2 linked regions of the Mytilus edulis genome follow. The protein of the gene in region 2 binds, or shares a complex with, the protein of the main gene of each other region. Links are inferred from orthologs where the notes say so. Each region holds a gene or a part of one and is shown on either strand. Other genes may lie near its edges. The genes, in order: eukaryotic translation initiation factor 3 subunit L-like and eukaryotic translation initiation factor 3 subunit J-A-like.

The links.
Region 1: eukaryotic translation initiation factor 3 subunit J-A-like (region 2) and eukaryotic translation initiation factor 3 subunit L-like share a complex: the UniProt entries of both Drosophila melanogaster proteins name them as parts of the eukaryotic translation initiation factor 3 (eIF-3) complex. The link is inferred for Mytilus edulis from reciprocal best matches to the Drosophila melanogaster genes eIF3j and eIF3l.

What each region holds. Positions count from the first base shown.
Region 1 is NC_092352.1:17,621,978-17,638,576, reverse strand, and holds the start of eukaryotic translation initiation factor 3 subunit L-like, read left to right. Parts: upstream 1-8,465; 5' UTR 8,466-8,526; coding exon 8,527-8,568; intron 8,569-10,391; coding exon 10,392-10,443; intron 10,444-10,803; coding exon 10,804-10,957; intron 10,958-11,565; coding exon 11,566-11,645; intron 11,646-15,210; coding exon 15,211-15,272; intron 15,273-16,199; coding exon 16,200-16,269; intron 16,270-16,599. Other genes in the region: uncharacterized protein, read right to left, coding at 1-982. UniProt on the Drosophila melanogaster protein: Component of the eukaryotic translation initiation factor 3 (eIF-3) complex, which is involved in protein synthesis of a specialized repertoire of mRNAs and, together with other initiation factors, stimulates binding of mRNA and methionyl-tRNAi to the 40S ribosome.
Region 2 is NC_092347.1:85,256,395-85,272,966, reverse strand, and holds the start of eukaryotic translation initiation factor 3 subunit J-A-like, read right to left. Parts: upstream 6,840-16,572; 5' UTR 6,781-6,839; coding exon 6,765-6,780; intron 6,674-6,764; coding exon 6,597-6,673; intron 6,068-6,596; coding exon 6,013-6,067; intron 4,215-6,012; coding exon 4,129-4,214; intron 3,373-4,128; coding exon 3,264-3,372; intron 835-3,263; coding exon 734-834; intron 1-733. Other genes in the region: protein FAM221B-like, read left to right, coding at 8,093-8,140, 8,559-8,721, 9,424-9,564, 9,813-9,923, 10,417-10,620, 11,006-11,125, 11,708-11,904. UniProt on the Drosophila melanogaster protein: Component of the eukaryotic translation initiation factor 3 (eIF-3) complex, which is involved in protein synthesis of a specialized repertoire of mRNAs and, together with other initiation factors, stimulates binding of mRNA and methionyl-tRNAi to the 40S ribosome.

The sequences.
Region 1 (16,599 bases), on a different chromosome or scaffold from region 2:
CACCACTAATATAATCATCTACTCTATACTCCTGTCTACTCTGTATGCACAAACCAAACTTACCTGGCTTAAAATTATCCTCCTTTGACCGGTTCGTCCTTGTAGGACAGTGCGTAGCTATATGACCAATGTTCTTACAAATAAAACAAGTCCTAGTGTCAGGTTGTCTTCCTTTTGATTGGTTATATCTACCTTGTTGTTTAGATTGGTCGGTGTCAATTCTCCCAACTGATTTAGAACTTACCTGTTCATCTTTATGTGCTTGCTGAAAAGCCTCAGCTTTGTCTACCAACTCATCAATTGTTTTCGGTTTCTGTTCCTTGATCCAAAGTTTGAGCTCTTTATTACAACTTACCATTAACTGTTCTCTAGTAACTAAATCAACAAATCTATCAAAATCAGTGCCTATCAACTCACGCTCCAACCAATGTCTAAGAAAACCTACTAGTCTGACTGAAAATTCCTTAAATGACTCATCCGAAGACTGGCGTTCACTTCTGAACTTCTCCCTGTATGCCTCGGCAGTAAGCTCGTATCTACATAAAATAGCAGATTTAATTTTATCATAATTTTTACTGTCCTCTTCAGACAATCTAGAAAATGCCTCTAAAGCTTTCCCACAAAGTAAAGGGACTAATCTAAGGGCCCACTCAGACTTGGGTATTTTATGCAAAACCACCAATTTCTCAAAGGACCTTAAAAATACATCTGGGTCTTCACCTTCCTTAAATTTAGGAAGTTTCGACTTCAAACTTGAATGTGTCTGTGGTGGTGCAACACCTTGAGCCATTTCTTTCTCTCTAAGCTCTAACTCTTTTAAACGTACCTCTTTTTCCATCTCTATCTTTCTCATCTCTCTCTCTTCCATTCTAGCTTCTCTCTCAGTAGACTGCATGTTTTTCAACATTTCTAAACATGTCTCCAAAGTTTCACCCTTCTCTAACATCTCCGGAACCCAAGCGGGTAATACACTTCCTGCCATACTGTACAATACAAATAATAATAAAATGATAATGTAAACAAATAATAAAACATAAAAGTTCAAACAAAATATATAACAAAAAAAAAATCCCTGTTGTCTATCTGACAATATTTTCTAATATAACAATTGGCACAGTGACAATCCCACCGCTGCCACCATTGTAACGAAGTAAGTTCTTTGGGAATTGTCAGGTGGCCAATGTCATACAAAACCAAATTAAAATATAAATTTAATTAACAAAACAAAATAAAGTAAATTCAACAAAAAATGTAATATGAAATGAGAACACAAATGTAACTAAATAAACACACACGGAACAAAACAAAATGTCATGAAATAAACATAAATCAAACAAATTTCGGCCTGCACACTTTCCGCACACTGCCCGGATACGTTCCTCGTTGTACGTACTGTAGATGTAAATGATGAACTGGGTTGTTCCCCTTTAAATTTCTCTTTATAATTAAACGGACGAATTAACTAATTTTCACATATATCTGGTTGCTTCTAAATTGATTGAAGAGAACACTAAATTTGTATGAATAACTATAATGCTGAATAACAAACTATAACTGCTTTAAACTGCATAAATACTGCACGGACTTCTCGATTTCTCAACTAAAAATGTATATAATTTTACGGACTTTTTGCTCCAAATAAATAGAAACGGACTATAAATTTATCACCGCCTCCATGCGTTGTAACTCCAACCAATATATCACCGAGTTGTTACCATTTTTAACCCCGACACCATTAATTCATCGACACCATTATCTCCGACCAGTCGACAATTAGCAACGTGCCAACGCACACTAAAACCGGGCCTAAAAACCCCTGCAAAATAATAATTGAACCCAAAAATTACTTACGTTATCTATAAATATGAATAATATGGCAATTATCCGTACATTTGGACCGCGAGCAAGAAATATCATCTCGACAGCAAATTGACCTCAATGTACCATAAAATATAAGTAAAATAACTTACCTGAGTGTTGTTTCAATTAGCCTTTGGACATCCATGTCCTGTCCTGACAATTATAATGTCCAAATTGCTATCTAAACCACAAACCCAACTGCACAAACGTGTGCTACTCTCAATGATCATGTGCCGACTGATTTGAGACTCACCTGTTAAATTTCAATAGGTGCGTAATCACGTGATAAACAAGGTCTGCTTGACTAGATTACCGGTGTTAGTGAAAATAAGAGATAACATAAAATATAGTCCTAGGTGTAAAATAAATCATATAAATAATTAACTGAAGTTTGTTACATTGATATTCACCCCATATGTACCAAGTGTAATTTAAGTTTTATTGATATTAAAGAAATTTCTTGGTATTCCTAAACGAAAGATTTTATACACACAAACGATCAAGTATACGTAATGACAAAGCTATTTTCATGTACCTGTGTAGGATATGACGCAGCTTTTTTCAAAAGTGATGAGTTTCTATAAATTGTTCAATATTTCACAGTGGTATCTTACTTTGACTTTGTTTAAACCTGTTTATTTACTTTTGACCTCAATTATTTATCCCTTATAAATTATATTAACTATGAATTTGCATTCACGTATCGAAGATCAAATTTTATATTCGTTCATTGTGTGTTAATTTGCGTTTTTTGATTGAGTTAAGCCTTCCAATTGATATTTTATAGTGTGTTTTTCTGTGTTGTGATGTTATACTATTGTTTCAGAAAAGGGAGAAGGTTTAGTACCATTAAAACGTTTAATCCCGCTGCAAATGTTTGCACCTGTCCTAAGTCATGAATCTGATGTACAGTAGTTGTCGTTTGTTTATGTAGTTCATACGTGTTTCTCGTTTTTATATAGATTATACCGTTGGTTTTCCCGTTTGAATGGTTTTCAGCGGCATTACACATTTTGGGGGCCCTTTATAGCTTGCTGTTCGGGGTGAGCCAAGGCTCCGTGTTGAAGACCGTACCTTGACCTATAATGGTTTACTTTTATAAATTGTTATTTGGATGGAGTGTTGTCTCATTGGCACTTATACCACATCTTCCTATATCTAGCTATGGATTCGTGTCTAGTCAGGCAGAAATTCCCGAATTTCTGAGCATGTTTCACTCAATCTTCTTGTTGAAATGACAGTTTGAAAAGGTCTCTAGAAATACAATGTATCCTGGAAACTACTGAATTAACTTTCCTTAACCAAGTAGAAAATCTACTTTAAATATAATCTTTTATCCTGCATTGACAGGTCAAAGGTCAATAACAACACAATGATCATGGAAATGCCAGACTAGAAATGTTATATAAAAAAACAGCAGCGCCTACATACGGATTATCATCCAGCGCTTGCATTTTGCCAACATGATTTCCTTGATAGAGGGTTGCCATTTACCAGGTTTAATCCACCGTTGTCTACATAAGAAAATGCCTGTACTAAGTCAGGAATTTGCCAGTTGTTATCCATTCGTTTGATCAGTTTGAGCTTTTGATATTGCCATTTGATTAGGGACTTTCTTTTTGAATTTTGGGATTTTACTTTTTACTAGGAAGCAATAAACCAAGATTTTAAAGTTGTGAAGTTTTAATTATCCCTTTAAAAAAATTACGGACGCAATTACAAGTTGATTGGCTGTTTTTTTTTGTATATTTGTTTCACAGATGATTATTGACCTGTTAAATTTGTCGTTACCACAATCCCTTTCTCTTGTCATCGAATACGACATACCAAATTAGATATATATAACTATATATACTAACATGAATAACAGTGCCAAATGTGGAGAATAATCAGTTAAACCTTCCAGAACAACTGAGATCACCTCTAGTTTTGTTTAATGGGGTTCGTGTTGCTCTTGCTTTATGTTTAAGTGTTGTCCTGACTGTATATATATCCTTATTGATGTCTATAAGTAGCTTTTGGTTGCCTTTAGATAATCAGGAAGTATGGTGAGAATCCAGTTGACGTGTGACGTATACAATCAGAAGCATGGACAAGACCTTCAACATGTGACTTCCAACCTTTCGTCTGAACATTTTCTAAGGTACCTAACATGCCAACTTTCCAAGTAGTATATATGTTATCTACTAATTATAAGTATACGTCGCTGTCTTCCGAACATCAAAAAGTGTGGTGAAAATCCAGTTGACGGATGACGTGTACAGTTGTTAGCATGGACAAAACCTTCATCATGTGACTTCCAATCTTTCTTCTGAATGTTTTCTGTACACTACCAAGCTTTACGAGTATTTATTTTGGTAACTTTCAGTGATGTCCATTTGATGAGACGGTGTTGTTCGTGACTTCGTCATACTAGTGATGTTGCATATTTCCTTGGTAATTTTAGAACCAAAGTTTGCACCTTGAAGTGGTCTCATTAAATATTATATATTTATATATACAGTTTAATTGCAAGGTATTCAATACACACTAACTCAAGGGGTTATGTCGTCTCGATGTTGATTAGAAGCGCTCTGTGACTTGTAGCCTGCTACCGGCGAACACATCTGTCGCAGTGCAAGATCTAGTTTTCAATATTTAGATCCATGCTGTCACTGTTTTTGTAGTTACATTTTTGGTGTGTATTGGAATGCTGCTGTTGTTTCTTTACTGAAACAATATTCACGATGCAGCTATATTTAAGTCAGATGGTATTGCCGCTCTATCAGTTGACTATAGAAATCCAAACTGGATGATATGGTAGTTCTTTGATAACTATTAGCATGTCGAAATGTCTTATTGCAATGTTTATTTGTGTATTTCTTTGTCCTGAATGTTCTTGCATTTATTTGTACTGTAGTCCTGTCATATAATGCTGTCATTGTAATGTTATATTTAGCATTGCCATAAAAGCGCGAGGTTTGGCTACCCGCAAAACCAGGTTCAACCCACCATTTTTTCTTAAAATGTCCTGTACCAGCTCAGGAAAATGGCCATTTTTATACTATAGTTCGTTTCTGTGTGTGTTAATTTTAGTGATGTGTTTCTGTTGTGTCGTAGTTCTCTTATATTTGATGTGATTCCCTCAGTTTTAGTTTGCAACCCGGATTTGTTTTTTTCTCAATCGATTTATGGATTTTGAACAGCGGTATACTACTGTTGCCTTTATTCAAGGTCCATGTATCTCTGTATAACAACATCTTTGTTAGGTGTTAGATACACAACTATAAGCGACTGACATGGCTATCGTCCCGCGGAAATCTACTAGCTCCAATACAAAAGAGACTTAACTTGCGGACCGCGAAATAATAACAACCAATCAGATACAACGATTCAAGTAAATGTATAGTGGATATTCATAGAACAATAGAGTGAACACCCGAAATAAAGGTTTACAAGTAAAAATTTAAACTCATAGATTCAATATTCAAAATATGAATGCATTCATGTAAGTATATATAAAAATAAATGATTATTACAATATATCAAATTATAAACATAAAAATAACTCTGCTACATATATCCATATATATATATGGATATAGATAAATTGCCTTGATAGGCAGCATAAACATGGACATAAAAAGCTTTGATTTGATTCGGCAAAGCAAAAAAACCACACATAATCTTTGATGAACACTTTACGGAAATAAAAACTTATACACAAGATATGAAATAAGGCAACGTAGCACCAAGGAATTGTATATTTAAATATACAATTCCTTGGTAGCATGTAATATATAAAACAGCTAAATAATTCCATGCAGCAAAAAAAAATCACATTTCTTGTAATGATGATTAGATGTTGAAACCATTTTAGTCCGTATCAAGGATTTGTATAGTAAGAAATATGGTAAAGAAGTTAAAAAAGAAATCTATGAAAATATATTTTTTAGAACGCTGTTCTGGGGGATCAAAAAGTGCTGATTTTTGGGAAAACTGTCAAACCTTTCTTTTCAAAAAAATGCCAATCCCAAGGGCAAAAGACTATTTTATTTGAAGAAAACAAAATTATAAATAATTCAAAAGATGTAATACTATCAGATATTTTTAATAAATTTGTTGCCACTGTTGCTGAGAAGATAGAAAATGATGTTATATATGATCCATTAAACAATCATAGCATAAATGCCATACATGAACAAAATCACTTGAAAACAGATGCAAATTTTAAATTTCAAAAGGTGACATCAGAAAAAGTGGAAAAAATCATAAATAAAGTTAATGTCAAAAAAGCAACTGGAGCAGATGAGATATCAGCAAAAATAGTTAAAGCAAGTAAATCTGTCGTTGCACCTCAGCTGACCAGTCTTATAAATTTGACTGTGGACACGGGCATATTTTCAGACAAACTTAAAGAAACCCAAGTTACACCCTTACATAAAAAGAGCGACCCACTACTGAAATCAAATTACAGACCAGTCAGTGTGTTACCTATTTTTTCAAAATTTTACGAAAAGATATTTGAAATACAGTTATACGATTTCTTTGATTCCATTTTTAATCCTTATCTATGTGCTTTCCGTAGAGGACATGGATGTCAGACTACGTTGCTCAGATTACTGGAAGACTGGCGTAAAGCCTTAGACAAAAACTTATATAAAGCTGCAGTTCTTATGGATTTATCAAAAGCTTTTGACTGCTTACCTCATGACATTTTACTAGATAAATTACTAGCATATAGTGTTTCTCCACATTCAGTATCTTTATCAAAATCATATCTTTCTTTTAGAAAACAGCAAATTAAAGTAAACGGTGTTCTGAGTAGCTGGGCTGACATCCAAAAAGGTGTACCCTAAGGTTCTATATTGGGCCCCTTTTATTTAATATCTTCAAAAATGATATATACTTTTTTGTTAAACATAGTACATTATATAATTATGCGGACGACAATACTCTGTCTTTTAGTAGTCCGGATTATGACCATCTCATATCCATATTAGAATCTGAACTCAAGTGCTTATTGATTGGTTTAAAGAAAATAAGATGCAGGCAAATCCTGATAAATTTCAAGTTATTGCTGTAGGGAAAAGAACCTTTGCAAAAAATCCATCTATACAAATTCAGCAAAATCTTTTTTATCATGTGAAGAAACAGTAAAGTTACTTGGAATTGATATTGATTACCAACTAAAATTTGATGCACATATAGTAACTTGTGTAGAAAGGCATCACAACAGCTGAATGTTCTCAAGAGAATTGGATCATTTTTAAACAGATTAAATAAACTTACATTTTTTCATACTTTTATTTTGAGTAATTTTAATTTTTGCCCTTTGGCTTGGCATTTTTGTACAGAGAAAAATTCTAAAAAAGTTGAAAAAATATAAAAGAGAGCATTAAGATTTGTATATGACGACTAATTATCATCCTCTGAAACTCTTCTTGAGAACGCAAAGGTTCCAACCCTACAAGTAAGACGCATCAGGACAATGGCACGTGAGACTTATAAAATTTTAAATAATTTGGCTCCTGTATGTTTACAAAATTTACTCCAAATTAAACACACTAAATATTCTTTTAGATACAATGATATTTGGAAATACCACAGGTAAGAACTACCTCATATGGAAAAAAAATCTTTCAGTTTTGCTGCTGCTTCTTTATGGAATAGCTTACCAGAACATTTCAGGACTGTTAACAACTTCTCACATTTTAAGAGTCTTGTTCAGTCCTGGAGTGGAACAGAATGTTTTTGCTCTGCCTGTAGATAATTTGTGTTACAATATTTATGCTTTCTATGCTGCATTAACAGCTTGCATTGCAACTGAAATGTTGTTTTTTACATTTTAAAATTTGAAAGATTTGAAATTTTTACTTTATAAATCATAATTTTTTTTTTAAATAATTTTTAAACTGCAAATTTAAAAAAAAAATAGTGCTTCATATATATGTTTTGGTATTTTGCAACATACATGTACATTTGTATATGCTATTTGCTTAGAGTTAATTTTTTGTGCTGCTTTTTATTATTTATTGCATGCTGCATGCCTTGTTTTATTTGTTATTGCATATGTTTTTTATATTCGGTGAAAAGCTCATTAGAGCTTATGTTTGTATTGTTTGTCAATATGCCGAATCCAAATAAAGTTTTACTTACTTACTTACTTCTTACTACACAAATCCTTGACAAATCATTGTCCGTATAAATAAGATATAGGGGGGATAGGACCTTTATCGGGACTCCGGGATCGGGTGTTTTTAAGCTCGGGATTTCGGGATTGACCCTTTCGGGATCCGGGAATCCTTTTTTTCGGATTTCGGGATGTCGGGATTTGCTTTATTTAAATTCGGGACCTCGGGATTTCGTTTTTTCAAGTCCGGGATTTCGGGATCAAGACCCCTCCTATCCCCCCTCAGATATGTATTAGTCCCAGATTTCATGGAATGAAAATTTTCTCCACTACTGTAACTTTAAATATTTGATTTTAAACTGAGTATTATATTTTCTTATACATTACTAGAAGTTTGTGTGTAGGAATTTAACCTAACATTATGTTCGACTAATAGTATTAAAAGTACGAGTTGGAAAAGATACGAGTTGTCCCCCTACTCCGATGTCCGACTTTGTTTTCTTTTTCTTTTCGTTCTTCTAGGGCAGACAACTCTATCGGAGATTTTTTCCAACATGTGGAGTGACGAACCACCAGCATCTTTTGCTCCTCCTGAAGTAAATATGAATGTTTTTAATATGAACTTTTGTATATAGAATCTACACAAGTCGTTTGTATATGTTATATGTTTTTCAATGGCATTCCTGATTCGATCAATACATGATAATCCATCATATTGTTGAACTCATTGCCAGACCAGTTGACAGCCCGGCTTCTCTATAAATCTATAAATAGACTCGATCTGTTGACCAGAAGATAATCCATTATTTGTTCCAGCTTAAACTAGTGATTTCCATTTATTGGTTTTTAGAGTATTTTATTATTTTTATTCATCCCAAACATGAGAAATTGACATTGTATATCCTCACAAAGGATTACAGACACTTGTCTCCGAAAAAAAATTACCTACAGTACATTTATATACATTTGTACATGTACTTTATATAACACAAGGTACCCAAATCATTTTTGAGAAATGAAACTTGATCAAGAACTTTCATTTTATTTTGCTTCTGTGGTTGTCCATCCCCCTTAAACTTGATATATGTATATCGTAAATCTACATTAATTACCTTCAAAATGCTGCCTAACACACCAATATCTGATGTCATAATCATTCATAGCTAGCTTTCCAAGTTGGGCTAACAGTAAATTCTATCATCCTATCACTGAAAAAGTGCACTAATAAGGTTCATCTGGACCATTTTGCTGAAATGGCTGTGTTTTAAAATCAAAATTTCTTCTACAATTACAAACGTCCATAGACTACCTCTATACACATAAGACTAATAAAAACCAAACTGAAGTTCAAATTGAATACCCACACGATAGTGCCATGTGCTGATTTTAATTTCACATTATGATACATAATATCATGTCGACAAAATATAGTCAGTAATTTATAAATACTACTGAAATTAAAACATTAAATATAACATCAAATAAATTCACCTAAGCAAGATAAAAAAAAATAACTGGGAAACACGTCTAATCGAGTCGGCCCTGTCGTACTGAATGGCTATATCCCATGAAGCGCAGCAATACAAATAACGGTCTATGGGCAGACAACTAGAAGAAATTAAAATCTAATTCAGTTCCTTCAAATACATGTAGTTGAAATTACATTTACTCTCAAGTACAGACTAAATGACTAAGAAAAGTTTTAAGGCATTGTAAGTTTGATTAAAATGGATTTTATGCTTTAGAAAATTTTAAAGATAACTATTTTTTGCAATGCACTTTTTTTCGTCCCTGCAGAAGATGATAAAATTAATAATAAACACCTGAGTTTCATTTGGTATGGTCCACTCAGGTTCACAGTTTATATCGCCAATTATTGTCAAGTACTGTATCTTTCCCCCCTCTATTGCCCATGGCAATCAATACAGTTCACTTCAATTATTACTTGTGAGGGAAGTTCTTAAACCTCTTTCTGAACTTTGTTAACAGTCATGACAGTGGCACCTTCTGGAGAAATGAAAAGAGTGCAGTGCAAAATCCAGTTAACTTAACTGTTTTTAATTTTCTAAAAAATGAAACACAAATGTACATCTGAATTTTATTTATCTAGAGTATATTAGGCCTTCAAAAAAATCCAGATACTCAGATATGTCGGCACCCAAAATAAATTTTAAGGTGAAAAGGCAGCCATTTTAGCCAAAGGGTCCACATGAATCTTGCTGTCTTGTAAAGTAAAGTAATCTTTATTTAATGTTGGGTTGCATATATACATAATAACAAGGAACATAAGATAAGCTCTTTTAAGAGCTCTTTAACCAACTGATATTAAACAAAACATTCATGTCTATACAATGCATAATTTAATTTAAAACTGATTATTTATTGGAGTGATTACTCAAAAAATTTCTTTTTATTTCAGTATTATCCAGCATATCCTCAACCAGGTGCCACTGATTATGATGCACACACAGGTATGTTACTATGTTAAACATGTTAAATAGGATTTCTACATTAAGTGTCCCCCATGTGTGATCATTTAATAATTAAACTATATTTAAAAGATTCTTAAACTTTGGTGACTGATATCACTATGGTAAATAAAATTGTACTCATGTCTTGAAGATCAGTCAAAATAAAGAATTTTATATATTTATTGCACTAACATTGATGAACATTTGTCCTAGCAGTAAGTAATGTTGGATGAGCTTGAAAGTGTTCTATGATTTACTGTGAGGTACACTATTCCTCTATGTTAGTGCAATTTTTTTTACCAAATTTTTTTCTAATTAAGGTAAATGATTTGACAGAACAATGTTATATTTTTTATAAAGGTGATCCACGCCAAGATTTGGAATATGAAAGACAGTATGCCCAACAGACGTCCTCGTATATAGTACCAGATGTCATCAAGAATTTCCTTATGGTATTCCAGAAGGCTATAAATGACCAGAATCTATATGAAATTCAAAATGCATATGAAAATGGGTATGTCTCTTACATGTCTTACTGCATATAAACCATGCAGGTGTTAAGCCAAATTCTAGCTTCTTTCTCAACATGTTCAATTTCAATTCTATTTTTAAAAAGATGTAATTTATCAGTTCAGGTGATGAAATGAAATTAATTCATCTTAAACAAATGTAAATATAAGGTAAATATTGATTTGGTACTTTGCAATTGTTTAAGTAGATGGACTTTTATCACCATTATGTACACCAATTATCAAAGCTATCCTGCAGTTTATCGCTTAATTTGCCAAGTTAATACTGTACTTATATGAGGGATGTAAAGGGGGGGTATTTGCACGGAAGAAAGAACAATTTAAAATTTCTTGCACATTGATCTTTTTACCAATTTCACGAAACACAGTGAATAAAGAACTTTTTTCACGGCTGCACATGAAATAAAAATGGCAAAACATGTTGCACGAAAATAACCCTTAACCACCCTCTTATGTCTAGGAACAGTTCATAAGGCCAAACAGCTATGTGCTTATTCCTGCCCAAAGCTTATTTTGAGTGCTAACCATCATTAAAGTTTTACACAAAAGAATCTTCTTAATATACAACTGATTTGATTTATGTACAATTTAGATTCAACAAGCTGACAGACAGATTCTTCAAGACAACTCCTTGGCCAGAATCAGAAATAATTGCTCCCATAGTGCAAAATGGTAAAGATTTGTAGAAATAAACTGTATGATGTTGTTTTTAGTATGCTTGGTAAATCATGTATGCTTATCCAGTGCAATTAAAGATGTTATGATTCATGAATGTCAATAACAAAACGTTTTTTTTAAATACATTAGACAGTGTTGGTGGATTCATTGGCAAACAGAAGTTTATATTTTTCATTCCTTTGTTGTTAAACTCTTATGCAGAATAAGAACCTTGTTAGAAATAACATATCTTTGAGCTTGATACATCACATTGAAAAATATGTGTGAATGTTTAAAGAACTCCTTATTTACATTTCAAACGTAACAATTGTATATAAAAAAAAAATTAACAACCAAGAAAACATACAATTTAAAATGTTAGTCTACAGCAGTATAAAATTCTTGTCAAAATCGTACAAAGGAGTAGGTCCAGTGAGACCCCTTTTTGGCCCCAAAATATAGCAGTTTTACAAAATTGTTAAAATGTAAACTTTTAGTTATTTATTGGACAATAGAATACTTCTGCTACATAAATATGGGCTGTTTTTTGAAAATACAATGCACATATATCGGGCACTAGCACCATTAAGTCATGCTAAGTTACTGAAATCTTCACAATTCTAGTATTTTAGTTAAATTTTAGATGGTTTTCGTGTAAAACGAAAGTGGCGGCATTCGTGTTCATCCTTAATATTGAAATATAAGTTTTATTTGATGATAATACATAACATATATAAAGGTTGAGGATGAACACAGATGCGGCCACTTTCATTTTTGACAAAAAAACATCTGAAAAGTGACATTTTTCGGCATATTTGGTAGCTTTTTCATATTTAAGCTTGAATCAGATCGTTTTCAATGACTAAATCAGTTAAAATCTTTCACCTAAACTAATTGATTCAAATGAAATAGACACTTAAGTGTTTTAAAAGTGGTGAAAATCTTTCGTCAGATGAAACTGAGATTTGAGGCCAAATTCGGTCCTTTCATTTACAGTGAACAAGCACTACAGAATATACCATAAAATTGAGAATGGAAATGGGGAATGTGTCAAAGAGACAACAACCCGACCAAATAAAAAACAACAGCAAAGGGTCACCAACAGGTCTCCAATGTAGCGAGAAATTCCCGCACCCGGAGGCGTCCTTCAGCTGGCCCCTAAACAAATATATACTAGTCCAGTGATAATGAACGCCATACTAATTTCCAAATTGTACACAAGAAACTAAAATTAAAATAATACAAGACTAACAAAGGCCAGAGGCTCCTGACTTGGGACAGGCGCAAAAATGCGGCGGGGTTAAACATGTTTGTGAGATCTCAACCCTCCCCCTATACCTCTAACCAATGTAGTAAAGTAAACGCATAACAATACGCACATTAAAATTCAGTTCAAGAGAAATCCGAGTCTGATGTCAGAAGATGTAACCAAAGAAAATAAACAAAATGACAATAATACATAAATAACAACAGACTACTAGCAGTTAACTGACATGCCAGCTCCAGACTTCAATTAAACTGACTGAAAGATTATGATTTCATCATATGAACATCAGGCACAATCCTTCCCGTTAGGGGTTTAGTATCATACCATCATAACATATATGAGAAGAACATAACCCGTGTCATGCCAACAACTGTTTTTAAAAAAATAATGTGTTTAGTTCCGATGCAAAGACCTTATCAGTGACTCAATATTAACGCCAAAATATGCAATCTTTAATGACTTGACAACAGTATCGTAATTATATCCCTTCTTAATAAATCTATTCAAAGGTTTTGTAAGTTTCTGAGGTGAATACTGACACCTTTGTGCTTTATAAAGAATATTACCATAAAAAATTGGATGTGAAATACCTGAACGTATTAGAAGTCTGCATGTTGAGCTATATTTACGAATGATGTCTTTATACCGATGATAAAATTTAGTAAATGTTTTGACTAGTTTGTGATATCGAAAACCCTGGTGTAATAATTTTTCAGTAATACATAAATTTCTCTCGTTAAAATCTAAAACATTGTTATATACACGAGCGAATCGTACAAGTTGAGATATATAAACACCGTAAGATGGTGACAAGGGAACGTCACCATCTAAAAACAGATAATTAACGATAGGAAATGAAAAATCATCCCTTTTATCATAAATTTTAGTATTCAGCTTTCCATTAGTGATATAGATATCAAGATCGAGAAAAGGGCAGTGGTCATTGTTAGTATTAGCTTTATTTAAAGTAAGTTCAACAGGATAAATTTCATTAATATACATACTGAAGTCGTCATTATTGAGAGCCAAAATATCATCCAAATATCTGAAAGTATTATTAAATTTGTTTATCAGATGTTGTTTCGATGGGTCTTTGCTTATTTTTGTCATAAATTGTAACTCATAACAATACAAAAACAGGTCCGCAATAAGTGGTGCACAGTTAGTCCCCATTGGAATTCCGATAATCTGACGATATACGGAATCCCCAAAGCGAACAAAAATGTTATCTAGTAAAAATTCAAGGGCATATATAGTATCAAAGCATGTCCAATTAACATAGTTTTTTTGTTTATTGCTACTAAAAAATGACCTAAAAGAGTTTGAACATATATATTCACATTCTGATTTTTTGAATGCCCATTTAATTAGGTGTGTGAATTGTTTCTTAATGAGAATGTGAGGCAATGTGGTATACAGGGTAGAAAAATCAAAACTTTGAACAGATTCAAAATCACCAATATAAGCATGCAATTTATCAAGTACTTCCAACGAGTTCTTGACACTCCAAAAGTAATTTATTCCACTATTTTCAAAGGCCTTATTTGAACAATTTATTATCAGGTTTTTAATTGTACCAAGTGTGCTGGTAAGAAGAATAGACAATTTAGTAGTTGAACAATGGCTTGAAGACGAAATAAATCTATATTTGTAAGGGGTTTTGTGTAGCTTCGGAAGCCAATACATAGTTGGAACTTTCATTGTATTTGGCTCTGCTTGTAAAGCGGTGGCTAAAAGTTTATGTTTGTTACAGATTTCGTTTTCTGAAAATGGAGTCAGTTGGAATGTTGGTGAATTGGTGATTTCCTTTTTCAGAACCTCAATGTAAAATTTACGTCAAACAATAATAATATTATTAGCAGCTTTATCTGCCGGGACAAAAACAAATTCCTTGGCTAGTTCTTTTAGTTTATGTTTGATACAAGAAATAGGTTTATTGTGGTTATTGTTTATAGTAAAATGTTCTTTAAAATGTTGAATACGTATATCAACTATCTTCATTACTGAATTAAAAAAACAGTCCAAAGATTTTTTGTCAGCTTTTTCCCGTTTTATCCATTTCATACAGTAAGTATGGAGTGAGTCGTGGATGATATTACGACACTCATTCCAATTAATAATTGACGGGGGACGATATTTAGGTCCTTTACTGAGGAATGATTTTAACTCTCGGTCTTGAACGATGTTAAGATCTCCTGTTATAACAACATACAATTTATTAGATATAAGCTGCATAGAACTACAAAGAAATTATTTCAGCCCAATCACCTCTTGTAATGTATGTCAGTATTTAGAGAAACCTTCCTTTTTCAGACCACACATTTCTGGTATTGTACAAAGAACTGTATTACAGACATATATATGCCAGAGTACAAGTAAGTGTAACTTGTGCCAAATTTCACCCATCATGTAACCTGCTTTACATCATCCTATAAATTATTCTTTTTCTGTTTGTAACCATAGCTATATAATTATATTAACTTTGTTTTATGTTTTCTACATATTCATAGTTTAACAAATAACATGGAAAGATTTTAAGACAGTATCTGAGCTAAGTGAGATTACCTGAAATAGATTGATTGATTATTTGTTGGTGATTAACACTACTTTCAACACTTTTAGCTGTTTTGTTGCAGTAAGTTTTTATTGAAGTTAGTTAGTTAATTAGGATTGGAATTGAAATGCTCCTGTCATTTATGGTTTCTATGTCACAACCTCAATTTGACAGGCTAGTGATACCGTAGATGAACTACCATATTAAATAGTTTTAAATCCAGCTGAAGTCAGCAATTATCTTTGACAAAATGCCAGTCTAGTGACAGGCACATATTGTAAATGAAGAATAAATGGTAAAAATAAGGAGATCCATCCAGTGAGATGTGGTATGATTGCTATTGAGCAACTATTCGGTAAAGACCAAAGGACAAAGATCTGCCAGTGAGATGTGGTATGATTGCTATTGAGCAACTATTCGGTAAAGATCAAAGGACAAAGATCTGCCAGTGAGATGTGGTATGATTGCTATTGAGCAACTATTCGGTAAAGACCAAAGGACAAAGATGTCAACAAGAACAAAAAGTCCCAGCATGCATGCACACTAATTCTATGTACCATCATGACCATAATACGCTAAATAATCTTTTAAAAAAATGATTACGTTGGAATTTTAAATTTAGGATAATAAAAAAATGTTGAACTTCACTCTCCCCTTATGGTATTCAGAATGTCTCCTTAAATTATTTGATTTTTTTTTAGGAAAAGACTTGTTACACTCAATGTTAATTTCATATTTTTTGTTTCAGACTGGACCTACACTAGAACAGATGTTTGAATCCTACTACAACTACTGTAATCTGTTCAACTTTATCCTTAGTAAGTATTGTGCTGCTTTGTTATATGTGAAAAGGCAATTGTGTTATGAACTCATTTAATTTTCAGGGTATTATAGCATTTTTTAAGTTACATTTCAAATTCTTCATAGTATTTGTATTTTATCTATCTTAAATTGAATAATTTTCAAAAATTCATGTTTTTGAAATGCATTTGATTGTATTTTAGTCCCTTTTGCTTTTTATATACTTGGTTTCCTTAACTTCTTGAGTATCCTTAATACCTGATTATGGTTATTCATAAGCATATGATGTTTGTTCCGAAATTGTTTACTTTACAAATACAAACTCTTGAAAAATAAGGCACAATTAA
Region 2 (16,572 bases):
TTTGAACTAGCTGTTAGTAACTGCGAGTACTCTCGGATCAGTACTTGGTGTCTTTTTCTTTTGCTAAGGGATTTACTAGTTTGTATGATGAATCGGTTACACATGCACAATGCACAGATAAGAAAATGCTTATTTTTAAGGGACACATCATTTCATGATCTTGAAGTTTGTATTAAGGTTTTTGAATCATCCTTAATTAACAAAGTTTTATGTTTATGTTATGATTTGGTGGACTATTGTAGAATGTTTATTTTCACAAATGTTTATACACATTCTTCCGTTGTTATATATTTCCATTTGTTAAAGACAAGTCATTGGTCGTATATGTACTGCATTGTTTTCCATTTGCACAAAATTTACCATAGATTTGGAAACAGCAAAAATCCGACATAGATTAGGAAATTACAAAACTTGCCATAGATTTAGGATTGTAAAAAATCTGCCATAGATTTGGGATGACATGTCATATTTGCCATAGATTAGGAATCTGCCATATATTTGGAACCTACCATAGATTTGAGCCCTACATACATGCAGACTGGCGTCTTAAAATTTAAATAATACTTTTAAATAACTGATTGATTTTGCAACTTGGCTTTTAATTATATCAACTTTAAATGGCATCATTATGAAACAACATTTTTCATAACCATTGTACACAGTATGAGTAAACATACTTTTAAAATAATGTAAAATAAGTTTGAAACAACTGTTATAAATATCATATTCTTACTTCAAAAGTTGTAATTTTATTTTTTATAGCTTCACCAAACTTGTCAAAACTTTCTTCATCTTCTGGGAACATTCCATCTATACCTGAACCTTTATTAATACCTAAAATGCAAAATATACACACAATTAAAAATGGAATTTAGAAATTTGAATAGTTTGAACTAACAATGACCACTGCCCTTTTCTCGATCTTGATATCTATATCACTAATGGAAAGCTGAATACTAAAATTTATGATAAAAGGGATGATTTTTCATTTCCTATCGTTAATTATCCGTTTTTAGATGGTGACGTTCCCTTGTCACCATCTTACGGTGTTTATATATCTCAACTTGTACGATTCGCTCGTGTATGTAACAATGTTTTCCATTTTAACGAGAGAAATTTATGTATTACTGAAAAATTATTACACCAGGGTTTTCGATATCACAAACTAGTCAAAACATTTACTAAATTTTACCATCGGTATAAAGACATCATTCGTAAATATAGCTCAACATGCAGACTTCTAATCATTCAGGTATTTCACATCCAATTTTTTATGGTAATATTCTTTATAAAGCACAAAGGTGTCAGTATTCACCTCAGAAACTTACAAAACCTTTGAATAGACTTATTAAGAAGGGATATAATTACGATACTGTTGTCAAGTCATTAAAGATTGCATATTTTGGCGTTAATATTGAGTCACTGATAAGGTCTTTGCATCGGAACTAAACACATTTATTCTAAAAACAGTTGTTGGCATGACACGGGTTATGTTCTTCTCATATATGTTATGATGGTATGATACTAAACCCCTAACGGGAAGGATTGTGCCTGATGTTCATATGATGAAATCATAATCTTTCAGTCAGTTTAGTTGAAGTCTCGAGCTGGCATGTCAGTTAAGTGCTAGTAGTCTGTTGTTATTTATGTATTATTGTCATTTTGTTTATTTTCTTTGGTTACATCTTCTGACATCAGACTCGGATTTCTCTTGAACTGAATTTTAATGTGCATATTGTTATGAGTTTACTTTACTACATTGGTTAGAGGTATAGGGGGAGGGTTGAGATCTCACAAACATGTTTAACCCCGCCGCATTTTTGCGCCTGTCCCAAGTCAGGAGCCTCTGGCCTATGTTAGTCTTGTATTATTTCAATTTTAGTTTCTTGTGTACAATTTGGAAATTAGTATGGCGTTCATTATCACTGGACTAGTATATATTTGTTTAGGGGCCAGCTGAAGGACGCCTCCGGGTGCGGGAATTTCTCGCTACATTGAAGACCTGTTGGTGACCCTCTGCTGTTGTTTTTTATTTGGTCGGGTTGTTGTCTCTTTGACACATTCCCCATTTCCATTCTCAATTTTATTAATAAATCTAGTGACCACAGATACCTTAACTTGCATAACTGATTGTTGATCAACGTAATTTTCAGCACAAGCTACTTGATGGCCATGAATTTATATTGACGGAGGAAGCCAGGGTAACAAGAACCATAGTCTTTGGCAGGAACACTAGTCACCCTAGTCAAATAAGCCTGAAGTCAACACACCTTGACAAGAGCAAGCTCCCAACAAAAAGTCTGTATTGACAGGCAAATGAGCACAATAGATGAAAAACTATTACCACTCGGCCCTCCAACACTGACATAAAAATAAATTTTCAGTCAATACCAAAACTGAAAAAATCAAATTATTAAATTGATGTGTATTATATCTTCCACAGCAATATTAAAAATTTTAAGATAAGCAAACTGGTACTTTCATTATGACCTGGAAACCACAGATGGATTTTCCAACATATGCATCATATATCACCTTTTTGAAGCAAGTATTAAAATTGGAGAATGGTTTCAATTGACCTCCACTAACCAACCAATTATGGGGGACAAAGTACAGATTTTATCCAAAAATCAAGATTATGATGAAATTTCATACCATGAATTGTCTTATTTTTTAAACTTTTACATTTGATTACATAACCAGTAAGCTTGTATGTTGTCTATTTTAGCATCCATGACATTGACATTTGACCTACTGATCTGAAAATAAATAGGTTCTTCCTTTCCCTTTGCTTTTGTATAAAACTTTCATGTTAATCAAACAATAGCAACTCAATTAATCATCTGAAATCTTTCTTTTCATTTTTAGTATTAACAGCAAACTTAATCTCAATCCATTTATAGACAACTTCCTCTTTCCAATATCGTCCAACCATTCCCGTTTGAGTAAGACATGCGAAAGTTAATATCTGGTAAACATTTGATTCAGAACCTAAAGAGGTAAAGATATCAAAGCCATGACAATGTGCTCCTGCCATATATTTTTTCCGGGGAGATCAACAAGATGAAAAGTGGATATCTTTTCTTTACATACATTGCCTTGAATGTTATTTGTTTTCTATCAAATAAGATGTTCCCTCCTGTTGAGTACAAAGCAAAAATGATTAAATTGTCAAAGTCAGACACTCTAACCTACAACAACTTATTTGAGAAAAAACGTATAATCTGTTAGACGTGAAGCCTTCTAGCCTCTAAAATAATTACCAAAAGCTTCTTTTGCTAACTGTAAATCTGATTCTTCTTGTAATCGCTGCTTTTTCAATTTATCTGCAATTTCCTCTTCTGGTGTTAATTTCCTATTTTTTTCTTGTTCCTGAAATTAACATGTACCCATAAAATCATCACTACAAAGCATTATTTAACACTGATTTTAAACTTGAAAGTTTGAGGAAACTGAAATCGGAAGTTTCTTAAAAATATTTTAAATTTTTCATCTATAACTTTACACTATTAGATTTATACCAAAAAAAAATCCTATTTCTTCAGTTAATGGTTTGCCTGCCTACCCTTTTTGATAGTGTTGAGCAAGACACTTAGAAAAGGTGTATAAAATTATTTCAGCTGAATGGTCATTAATCAACTAAAAAAAACATAACCACATCTTGGTATACATTTTTCACAATATCTAGCTTTCTATATAAAGTTTTTACAAGAAATTGTTTTTCAAATGACCATATGATGCAATAATTGGCAGGCCAATACAATATTTTGTTCTAGTCATGTTTAGTGAAAATGTGTCTTTACTATTGCAAAAGTTATAAGAATAAACCTGTTATTGTGCTATGCTTACCATGTATTGCATTTCAAACTATCAGAAGAAAGGAAATAGGTATCTTACAGAGATTTTATAACTAAACACAGGTTAGTAACAATATTAAAATTTAAAGTATGGGCTAACAGGTAGTAGGTACCTATCAGAAAGTTCTGAAATGTGTGACAAGTTCTAATTATTGATCAAGCAACTTGGAAGACACTGTTTAGAGTATCAACCAGACTGTAATTTACTGTTACAATTTGGCCAAACAATATATAAATGGCCATTAAATAAAGAGAAATAAGTTAAAATTACAGCTTCTTCTGCAGCAAGTTTGGCAGCTTGTTTTTCTGCTATTCTGTCAGCTAATTTCTTTTTCTTTCTCTGAAAAGGCTTCCCTTCTGAAAGAAATGATGTATTATATCAGAAAAATTCTAATTTCCTAGCTTTTTACAGGGGTTTCACATTTCTGTGCTTATTGTAGATTCAATCTAGTTCACTATCTCTAGATAAGGTTTTTGATGGAAAACAATGTGATGGTTGTGGTTCATGCACATATAAGACTTGTTCTATTTTGTAACAAGAACTGGATCATGTGTTGATTTGTCTATTTTTTTCTTCAGTCAGGCATTGGTGGTTTGTACTATCCCATATTTTTCTGTTAGGCCACACCAATTTAATTTCTTGTTCTACAGATTTTTGAACTCCAAAAATTGGGGCGAGCGAGCAATTTGAAAATTTTAATAAAAAAATATTTAATTTGCAAATTTTTGAGGCGAAGCTTAAAAAGTAAAGGCGAGCGATTATAATTTTTTTTTGTAAACATAAAATAGTAGGTTTTGACTATATTAAAACTTGATTTATCACTTGTACCTTGACATATCTTTAATTTATGAAGTATTTTTTCCCTGTTCAACAAGAAATAATTGAATAATTAAATCTGGTCTATGTATGTGTGACTGACAATGAGACAATTCTCCATCCAAGTCATAATCAGGTTCAGAACAACCCCTTAATGTTATGAATATCCCTTTTATGAGGGGTCAATATAAGTTATAATATATTTATTTTGTAAAAACACTTTGAGTACAAAAGGGGTAATATTTTCCCAAAGAACTATAATATCTATATGGTATTAAATGGTCAAAACATGTCCAAAAATTTAACAGTTTTATATTATTTAAAATAAGTGGACCTCTCTTTTAAAAGTCGTTTAAAATATAATGTATTTCTCCTCTTTTTGAGTAAAAAAATTCTAAAGTTTCAAAGGTTTTGTATAGTAGCACTATACAGTTTTGTATAGATGCACTATAAAAATCTTTAGTATTTCTGTTTTCTTTTCTACAACAGTAAACATGGTTAAATGACCCCTTCAAGGTCCTTGTCTGAGGGATTACCTGATAATAACAAACATAGGTCAAAGTACGGCCTTTTACACAGAGATTTGATCCAGACCAAACAGCAAGGTATAAGGGACCACAACTTAGTATTGTACACAATTCGAACAGGAAAACCAACGATCTAATTTATATTTCCAAACGGGAAAATACCAATGAACCACACCAACAAACGATAACTGCTGAACGACAGGTCCCTGAATCAATCAGGACCAGTGCACAAACCTGCAGCAGGTATGACCGTCAGCATACATTATAATTGCAGTTGAAGGCAAATCCTTCAGAAGTTCTTTGTACTTTATTTTAACTACGAACATTTTTTGATAGGGAATATAAGTCTGGGGGAAAGAAACCAATGTTTTGTTCTGTACAGGTGTTTCCACTGTTATATATTTATATCGGAGCACTCCCGCTTGAAACAAATATTCTCACAGATATTTAGTGTCGTGAGGTGCTTATAGGTTTAAAATCGTTATATAAAGGTTATACTATGATTTTAAAAACAAATGTTGAGATCTTTTTATAATATTTACAAAAAAAAAACGGTATGGGAAATGGACATGATTACATTTCCGGATGCAGGAAGCAAGAATATAATAAAAATAATAAAAATCTGTTTTGAAAAAAATAGGAGCGGGCGGGTCCGTCGAACAAGATTAAATTGGTGTGGCCTTATCCTTTAATTTAATAATTTTAAGTTCATTTTCTCATAGGCATGCATTATCCCGTTTTTTTAAATGACCATAGTGCAGTTCAAATTGGCTACAGTGTGTATTTTTATTAATAGGACAAATCAACATACCCTGATCTTTTTCTTCTGTCTTCTTTTCTTCATCATCGTCATCCTCCCAATTATCCTGTAAACAAAAGTTTTAATTTGTATTGAGCGCATTATAACTTATACAATTACCAGATAAGAACATTTTAATTGTCATTTTTTTTCTGACCAACACCCAAAAGGAAACCATTTGTCATTCTAAATATTTCATATGTCACATTTGAAATTTAATTAGGAACAGCTGGTTAATCATATATCAGAATCCCTTAAGAAAATATCCCAGGATTATTACAGTGTGATCACTTCAAAGGTAGGTGGTTTTTCTTTTCGCGATTTATGAATGGAATGTGAAAAACTATATCTCAAGTGAACACGATTGATAGTTAAGATTATTTTAACCGATAACCGCTACGAATTTCAGCTGACAGCGAGTATAGGCAAAATGAAACAGCTGTCACGTGTAAAGGATTGATCCAGGAAGGATCCAGTAATGATGAGCAATAGATTTAATATGTTAAATTAAGATTCCAAATCACGACTACGTTTAATTGTCTTCTAAACAAAGAATGAAGAAAACCATGTAATTTGGTAAAAAAAATCGTATAAACCTTGACATCATCTTCATCCTCCCCTTCCCACTGATCCGTTGTCTTCACAGGTACTTCTGGCTCAAAATCATCGGCATCTACAAAATATGAAATAAATAAATCATAAAATTCATTTAAAATTGTAATTAAGAACTTAGTAAGTCATAAATATGTTCTCCACATGTTTACCCCATGCGTCAGACATCTTGAAGTTCTAGAAACTAAAAATAGAAATTATTTGCGCGGGAATGCAATTTCTTTGGAGGTAATAAAATAATTCTTATGAGTTACAATATTATTTGATATTTTTCGTATAATCTTAAAATTATTTCAATACATTATTTTGAAAAATATTTATTTAATTATTTTAAACTGGTTTCACGAAAATAGAATTCTGAAAGGATAAATTACTTCACGCTGACAGGAAACCAGAATATCCAAGGTGCGTGACTGCTTTGTTTACAAATGGATGACAAACTGAAGAAGTGACTAAGTCGCTTAATATTTATTCCTGTTTAAAAACATATACAGAATCAATAAGAGTATGACATATTTTCATTTCACTTTTACGATAAAGTTTATATAATTGCTACCCTTGTCAGTATATTTGGTTAATGAATCTACAGAAAAACAATAACAAAAAAATGGTCCAGGTTCATTAAATTTTAATGGATGGACTCAAGACGTTTCGGCCATAGATCCGGTTCCTCCTTAGTCGTTTTGGCCATACTTTAAATTTATAGTAAGGGACTAGTTACTTGTAACCCTGACTATAGTATATCTAACAGGGAATTAATCTTATACACTTTAAAGTAAATATTGAGGCATTACACTACAAGCAAACTTAAAATGGTCAAAACATACAGACAACATTATAGCTAATGGTAACAAATCTTAAAAAGAAATTTAAAAACATCATGCCAGAACATCAAAACCCAGGTATATCTGGCACTGGTTCGTTCTAAGCTTGAATATTCATGTTCAGTATGGGACCCTCACACAGTAGTTAAACAAACCTCTAAAATTGAGATGGTCCAAAGACGAGCTGCCAGATATGTCTGTAACAGGTACCATAACATCAGTAGTACTACAGACATGATAAACTCACTAAACTGGCCCACACTACAGGAAAGAAGATTATGCACAAGATTGATAATGTTCTACAAAATAGTACACCAAATCGTAGCAATCCATTCTGCTATCCTCATACCATCAGAAACCCGCACCGTTTCACTTTCAGACACATTTCTACCAAAAAAGATACATATAAATTTTCATTTTTTCTGTACACCATTACTCAGTGGAATTTAATACCAGTCCACAGTTTTATATAATCTGATATTTTAAATTTGTTTTCAGGTTGTATTAGTTTACAGAAATTCACATACATTTAATCTGATATATGTCAAATCTGTTTTCAGGTTGTATTAGTTTAGAGTAATTCACATACATTTAATCTGATATGTCAAATTTGTTTTCAGGTTGTATTATTTTACAGTAATTAATAGAAGTATAGTATGAGTAAACAACCAGTCCCAAAAACAACTGGTACTAAGCCAAAACAGGTAATGCATATGAAGTTAAACTCAGTACTTCACAGCAAGTCTTTATCTGATATTTAATGACTTCCAATTACTAGTTTAATAATATTTGTTGGCCCTGATGTTTTTAAATGGAATTTAATGGATCAATTGAACTTGGAAGCAGATTGTTTTGATGCAGTAGATCGAGCATCTGGGACAAATCAAAGGAATTATTAATTTATTAATTTGAATAAATAATCCTTAAATTCTTAAATTATGGAAAGCAATACTTAAAATTGTTTAACTGATGTTAAGGAGCATTATTATTTGAGAAAAAAAAACCATAAGCACAAACTTGAAATTATAATACTTTGAAACTATTCATACCAGACACTAGACAGTGTTAAAATGTATATTAATATTATCTCCCTTTTTAAGACATGATGTCCTTATATTACAGACAATAGGTGCAGGTAGAGCTTCTCCAGCAGGAAGGGGAGCTCCTTCAGGTAGAGGTTCTCCTGCAGGAAGGGGAGCTCCTTCAGGAAGAGGAAAAGCAGTATTACCACGAGGCATGCAACCTATTGCCATGAAAAAACAAGATGGAATGTTAGTTCCTGAAGGTAAAATTTGTTTGTTTAAATCATTTTACATTGTATCTTGTAAATAAACAATATCTGGTAAGAAATACAAATTTAGATGATATAAACATTGCTTTTTAGTATCTGTTGATTGCTTAGTAGTATTTGGACTCCATGTTTATATGAGAAATGACAAAGAAAATATAACTATCATAATAATACTCCAACTTTGATGTCAGAGAGTATTAAATAGCTTTGAAACTTCTGTGTATTTTGTAGGTATATTTGTGTAATCAGTTATAAGTGAAAAGGAATGATATAAGCTGGAAACTTGTTTCCGGGTCCTCGTTTTGGTCTTAGTGACGATTCAACTTTTATAATATTTTCATGCCAACTAATGTATATGTATTTAAATTGAATAAATCTAAAATCAAATATGCTTACACTTATCATTTGTTAAGATTTGAGCTAGCTTTCTTATCAACGTTATCCATACCAAAGTTTCTGTTTTGATACTTTGTTAGTCTATTAAACCAACCCAAAAATTTCAAGAAATAGATGCCACTAGTAACAAAGAATTATTAAAAAAAACATTATTGAGGCTTTTATGAATATAGCTGTGACTATGAAATTATCTCCCCTAATTGACTTAATTAATTCTGGGGAAAACTTGCTTATGACAAACCATATTTACATCAAATTCACATTTATTATTAAATACCAATCACTCTTGATTGTTTCTAGGATATACCATGAGAAAAATAGAACCAGCCAAGAACTATGATGTTGTATCATTTGCCAGAGCCATGAATCAAGATTTTGCTCCGAGACTAAAGAAGTTATTTGATCCAGAAGTTGAAGCTGCCTTAACTGCTCAGAAAACAGGTAAAATCAGAATTATCTCCCTTATTTTATTTTATGGATTATTTCTTGGTTTTTTTGGTCATTGTGGTGAATCTGATTTAGAATTATAGTTCTTTTAAGTAATGTCACTTAAATAGGTAATTTCATTCAAGCAGGCAGGTAGTGGCTTGATCTGCAAAAACTTTATAAAAAAATAAAAAATAAAAAAAAATAAAAAAAATTTGTTTTATTCATTTAATCCTTAAAATTTTGAATTTGATTTAATTCAGGAATCTATATTGGATGGAGATGTCCAGAGTTTAAACATGATTGTCAAAGGGTAAATGATTATTCCAAATGTTTCTGTGGTCATCTGTTAAATGGACATGCAAATTACACAGGTATGATGTATAATATGTATTTACAATTAGAGTTGAAATAGAAAACTCAAGTTACCAGAAGGATCAAATTCATGTTATTTTTTAATTTTGCATTATATAACACTTGAGCTAAAGTATTATCTATGTACAAAATATCTACAACTGTATCATTATTCGTGAATAATTTCTTATATTTGTTAATTTGAAGAATATACAAATGAAATTTTCCTGGAGCATGGCAAATAATCAAATATTGAAATTTATTTAATTAAGAAAACCTGAAAATGAAAGAATGGGTTTTTTTTTCTTACATCACATTGTAACATACAAAGTTATAATCTTTAAATTCAAGGCCATATTTTGCCGAAAGTGAACTTGATCTTTTTGCACTTCATTGTTACTGTTCATATTTACATTAGCATAAAACATTATTACAGTGACCTGTGTTTGTACCATCAGCGACCTACGTGTATACCATACCTTCTTACTCTTTATTTTACTTCTAATGTTTTAGGAAAGAGTGTACAGGTACCATGTCGACAAGGGGGGTGTAAGTGTAAAGGTTTTGCTTGGATTCCTTCACGTCCTGAGGATGTAGGCGAATTCTGGCATCAACGTAGAAGAGATTTTGATCCTAGTACATGGAGAGCTAAATGTCGTTGTAAACACACACATGAAGAACATGAACCAACAGGGATGAGAAGATGTAGATCTAGAGGTTTGTTCCAATACTGACTGAGGATTTAACATTCTAAAAGTAATTTAGGTTTTCTTATGTACCTTAATAAAGATAAGAACAACTCTGCATGTGTTGAGAAGATGGGTAAATCTTTCATGATTCAAACTTCTGTTTCACTAGTTATCTAGTGGAGAGTTGTCTCATTCGCAATCATACCACATCTTCCATTTTTTATATATAAATCTTTCATGGTACATCCATACATCTGAACTTCTATTTTTTTGTATTGTGGCAATTATCGAACCATACAATTGTTATACTGGTAAGTCTGTTTTCTAGTGTAGTATGATATCCTCTTAACAACTATACTGTGCAGTATGAGTATAGTCATATTTATAAGATTTTAAGCACACTACTTTTTCAGGATGTTCTTGTGGCCATTTTGATTCTAACTTTCTGTGTGCTGCTTGTGATAACCATTGGGAGAGACATGACACTTTCTTTGAAACAGAAGATATCAGAAGACAAGATGGGCTTCCTGTTGGTCAGTATTCTATTTTGAGACTAACTGCAAACCAACTAATTTTCAGTTGAAATTCATTTAAGCCATGTTTGAATTTAGAAAAAATAATGCAAATATAAATTGTACTGAATGTGTCAAACTTTGATCTCCTCTTATACGAGATGAAAAATTTCAAGACAAGACACAACAATTTATTACAACTTAGGCACATGTATGTTGCTACACTAGGATAATAATTATACATTTATAATAACATAACTATACATTTGCATGCAAGACACACAATAAATACATTAACGATATCATATAATAGTATTGAAATATACCATAATAGGTTGAGTTTTTGCAATATTTTTAAGTTTAACCTGATTTTTTTTAGTTTAATACTAACTGAAAAAATGCATTGTAACAGTCTGCTAAAATCTTAGTCACGAACAAAAAGTCAATGAAATAACTAAGTTTACAGAAAATAAATACCATTTATTTTTTAATAGAATGGAATTCCATTCTGTAAATATGAAAAACACCATATTTTTTATCATTCTGAGCCTAAAGTGTTCTTTTTTATCACTTTCTATTAATTATGATTATATATATTTACAGGAACTGACTATATACCATTTGCTGAAATGCCAGATCTGAGAAATATAGCTCTGACAGGAGATGAAAATGATGATTCTAAATATTTAGCCTTGACCCAAGGTGAAGGGTCAATACCACAATCCAATAGACCAATGGGAAACGATACACCAGTGAACTTTGGCGGAAATAAAAGTGGATTTAAACCTGTCTATGATTGATTTATATTAAGATTAATTGCAAACTGTTTTTTGTCCTATGTAACAGGTAGAAGGCAACTGCTGAATCTCAAAAATGAACAAATTTATGGAAATAATATAAGTTTAAAACCAAAACCTTGCTAATAGTATTAATTCCTTTTTAATGAGAGGGAAGACAGAAAGTAAGGAGTGTAACAATTTTCAATGTTATCCTTATAAAAAAATAATGATTTTAAGAACTAAAATCATTTATTCCTTAGGGAAACACAATAGAAAAAAATGATTTCTACAAAGTGATTTGTCTGTGATGTCTGCAGAACAATACAAAACTATTGGTCCTGAGTGGTAACTAGGTGAACATAAGCTGATAAAATATTAACTATTTCTCTTGACGTATTATATCGTTTATAGATAAAATATTGACTATTTCTCTTGAAGTATTGTATCGTTTATAGAAAATTGAGAAAATGTCGGTGAAAATTGTCTATGTAATCTTTATATTGTTCATGAATGTAAGGATCTGATCTAATGTTATTATTTTATTTCAAATGTTAACTCTAATCTTGTTATTTTTTTGGTTCTGTGTTTATACAATTCTAAGTATCTGTATTTTTTCCAGACAGAATGATTATCAACCCATAAGTTGAACTATATTATTTAGTATAATATAAACAATTGAAAAGACCATAATTATACTTCGTTTACTTGTTGAATCTGTTTCTTTGCAGAAGATCCTAAAATGTTTGATTTTATGTCATTTATAACATAACAAATAACAATATGATCTTTAAATATAAATCTTCAACTGGCTGAAAAACATATACCTAAAAATTAAATTCGTTCATGACATTTAGGTTGTTTAAATGTGATATTATATTCTGTGATAGATGTCTTGCCAAATCTGTGATATTTTAAACTCATTATAGAGCTTTCTTGTTTTAAAGTAGTTGTATATTGAGCACCTATATATCTTTGAGTACTTGACAATTATATTTGTCAGGTATATACATTTATTTCATGCACATGCTTTTTATTTATTAATTTTTTATGTTTACTATGCTATTATTTCCCCTGTCAAATCTTTTAAGTGCAATTCTGAGATTTTATATTAAAATCTGATTTGATGAATTTTTATACAGATCATAATCTTACAAATTATATCCGGTTAAAGTCTTTTCCTTAATAGTCAACATTTTTGAAAGAACTGATCCTTTTATTGTGCTGTTGTTTTTTTCAAACTTTAAACATTATCTCTCAGGAATGTTTCATGCAGAAAAGTGTCAAAATTCAGCTTCCATTTTTTTAAAGTTTGAAACATTACACATGCAACTTGTGTGTTAAATACACATAATATTTATTCACTGCAAAACACTGCTTTATTATCTTTATACAGATTTTACATTGTTATTATTAAAGTAGTTATTTACATTTTTTATTAAAATCTTTGAAAAAAATATTGTTAATCTATTTTCTTTCTTTACATCATGTAGCTGCGAAAACGTAGCTCTTAAGGTCCTTTTGATGATTTTTGATATTTGCGGACCATAGCTCTATGGCAAAAAAAAAAAAAAGGACAATAGAGCTACGTTTTCGCAGCTATACATCATGTTACTTGTATTTACAATGTAGAAGTATATTATTGTTTTTTTTTTACTGTTTTGCACCATTCTCTTTGTGTAATCCATGGTAGTTGTTGTTTACTATTTTGCACCATGCTATGAGAAATCAGTTATATAGCAAGTAATACAAATGATGATCATTGATGAAAACAGCACTTATCTCCCTTATTACATATCAGCCAAAATTAATTCAAACTTAAGTGTATTAATATTTTCATAATAAGGACATGATTACCAGTAATGTTATGCACATAAAAATAAGGAGATGTTGTATGATTGTCAATAAGACAACCATCCACCAGAGGTCAAGAGGTCAAATGATGTAGATGTAAGAAATTTCAGGTCAACACAAGATTTTTACACTATGTATGTATCTAATAGAAATTTAAAGATTGCATCTGCCAAAAACTATACAATTAACAATTCTAGTATTGCTGCTGACAGGAAGAATTTGCTAGACACTTTCAATTAAGTAAGTTGTGACTTACTGTTTTGGATCATGTTACATGTAGACAGTAGTGTATTATTGATTGGTTGTGACTTACTGTTATGTATCATGTTACATGTAGACAGTGGTGTATTGTTGGTTGGTTGTGACTTACTGTTATGTATCATGTTACATGTAGACAGTAGTGTATTATTGATTGGTTGTGACTCACTGTTTTGTACCATGTTACATGTAGACAGTGGTGTATTGTTGGTTGGTTGTGACTTACTGTTATGTATCATGTTACATGTAGACAGTAGTGTATTATTGATTGGTTGTGACTCACTGTTTTGTACCATGTTACATGTAGACAGTGGTGTATTGTTGGTTGGTTGTGACTTACTGTTATGTATCATGTTACATGTAGACAGTAGTGTATTATTGATTGGTTGTGACTCACTGTTTTGTACCATGTTACATGTAGACAGTGGTGTATTGTTGGTTGGTTGTGACTTACTGTTATGTATCATGTTACATGTAGACAGTAGTGTATTATTGATTGGTTGTGACTCACTGTTTTGTACCATGTTACATGTAGACAGTGGTGTATTGTTGGTTGGTTGTGACTTACTGTTATGTATCATGTTACATGTAGACAGTAGTGTATTATTGATTGGTTGTGACTCACTGTTTTGTACCATGTTACATGTAGACAGTGGTGTATTGTTGGTTGGTTGTGACTTACTGTTATGTATCATGTTACATGTAGACAGTAGTGTATTATTGATTGGTTGTGACTCACTGTTTTGTACCATGTTACATGTAGACAGTGTTGCATTATTGGTTGGTTGAGACTTACTGTTTTGTAACATGTAGACAGTGGTGTATTGGTGGTTGGTTGTGACTCACTATTTTGTAACATGTAGACAGGGGTGTATTATTGATTGGTTGTGACTCACTGTTTTGTACCATGTTACATGTAGACAGTGTTGCATTATTGGTTGGTTGAGACTTACTGTTTTGTAACATGTAGGCAGGGGTGTATTATTGATTGGTTGTGACTTTTTGTTTTGTACCATGTTACATGTAGACAGGGGTGTATTATTGGTTGGTTGTGACTCACTATTTTGTAACATGTAGACAGGGGTGTATTATTGGTTGGTTGTGACTCACTGTTTTGTAACATGTAGGCAGGGGTGTATTATTGATTGGTTGTGACTTTTTGTTTTGTACCATGTTACATGTAGGCATTGGTGTATTACTGGTTGGTTGTGACTCACTATTTTGTAACATGTAGGCAGGGGTGTATTATTGATTGGTTGTGACTTTTTGTTTTGTACCATGTTACATGTAGACGGTGGTATATTATTAGTTGGTTGTGACTTACTGTTTTGTTCCATGTTACATGTAGGCAGTGGTGTATACGTTGGTTGATTGTGACCTACTGTTTTGTTCCATGCTACATTTAGATAGTGGTGTATAAGTTGGTTGGTTGTGACTGATTGTTTTGTTCCATTTTACATGTAGACAGTGGTGTATAAGTTTGCTGGTTGTGAATTACTGTTTTGTACTATGCTACATGTAGGCAGTTGTGTATTATTGGTTGGTTGTTGCTAACTCTTTTTTACCATGTTACATGTAGACAGTGGTGTATTATTGGTTTGTTGGGGCTTACTGCTTTGTACCCTGTTACATGTAGACCATGATGTATTATTGGTTGGTTGGTTGAGATTTACTGTTTTGTATCCTGTAACATGTAGGCAGTTTTGTATTATGGGTTGGTTATGACTGTTTTTTTGTTCAACGTTACATGTAGACAGTGTTATATTATTGGTTGGTTGTGACTTACTGTTTTGTACCATGTAAATTTTAGACAATGGTGTATTTTTGGTTGGTTGTGACTTACTGTTTTGTACCATGTTACATGTAGGCAGTGGTGTATTATTGGTTGGTTGTGACTCCCTGGTTTGTTGATTGTGACTAACTGTTTTTTTCCATGTTACATTTAGGTAGTTTTGTTTTATTGGCAGTGGTATATTATTGGTTGGTTGTGACCTACTGTTTTGAACCATGTTACATGTAGACAGCAATGTATTATTGGTTAATTGTGAATGGGTGCTTTGCACCATGTTACATGTAGACAGCGGTGTATTTTTCGTTAATTGTGTCTTACTGTTTTCTACCAAGATACATGAAGGCAGTGTTGTTATTTTTTTGTTGGTTGTGACTTAGTAGTTTGTACCATATTACATGTAAGCAGTGGTGTATTATTGATTGGTTGGTTGTTACTTACTGTTTTTACCATTTTACAGTTGGTTGGTTGTGATTTGATGTTTTACCATGTTGTAGGCAGTGGTGTATTATTGGTTGGTTAGTTGTGACTTACTATTTTTTACCATGTTGCATGTAGGCAGTGGTTTATTATTGGTTGGTTGGTTGTGACTTACTGTTTTGAACCATGTTTCATGTAGTCATCAGTGTATTTTTGGTTGGTTTGGGCTACCTGGTTTGTACCATGTTATGTTAGCAGTAATGTTCCATAGAGAACATTAAAATAAATCATCCCTTCGTAAATTTTACAGACGCCATTACGAGTTGGTTGACCGTTACTGACCTACCGAATAAGACTATTTACCGGGTTTG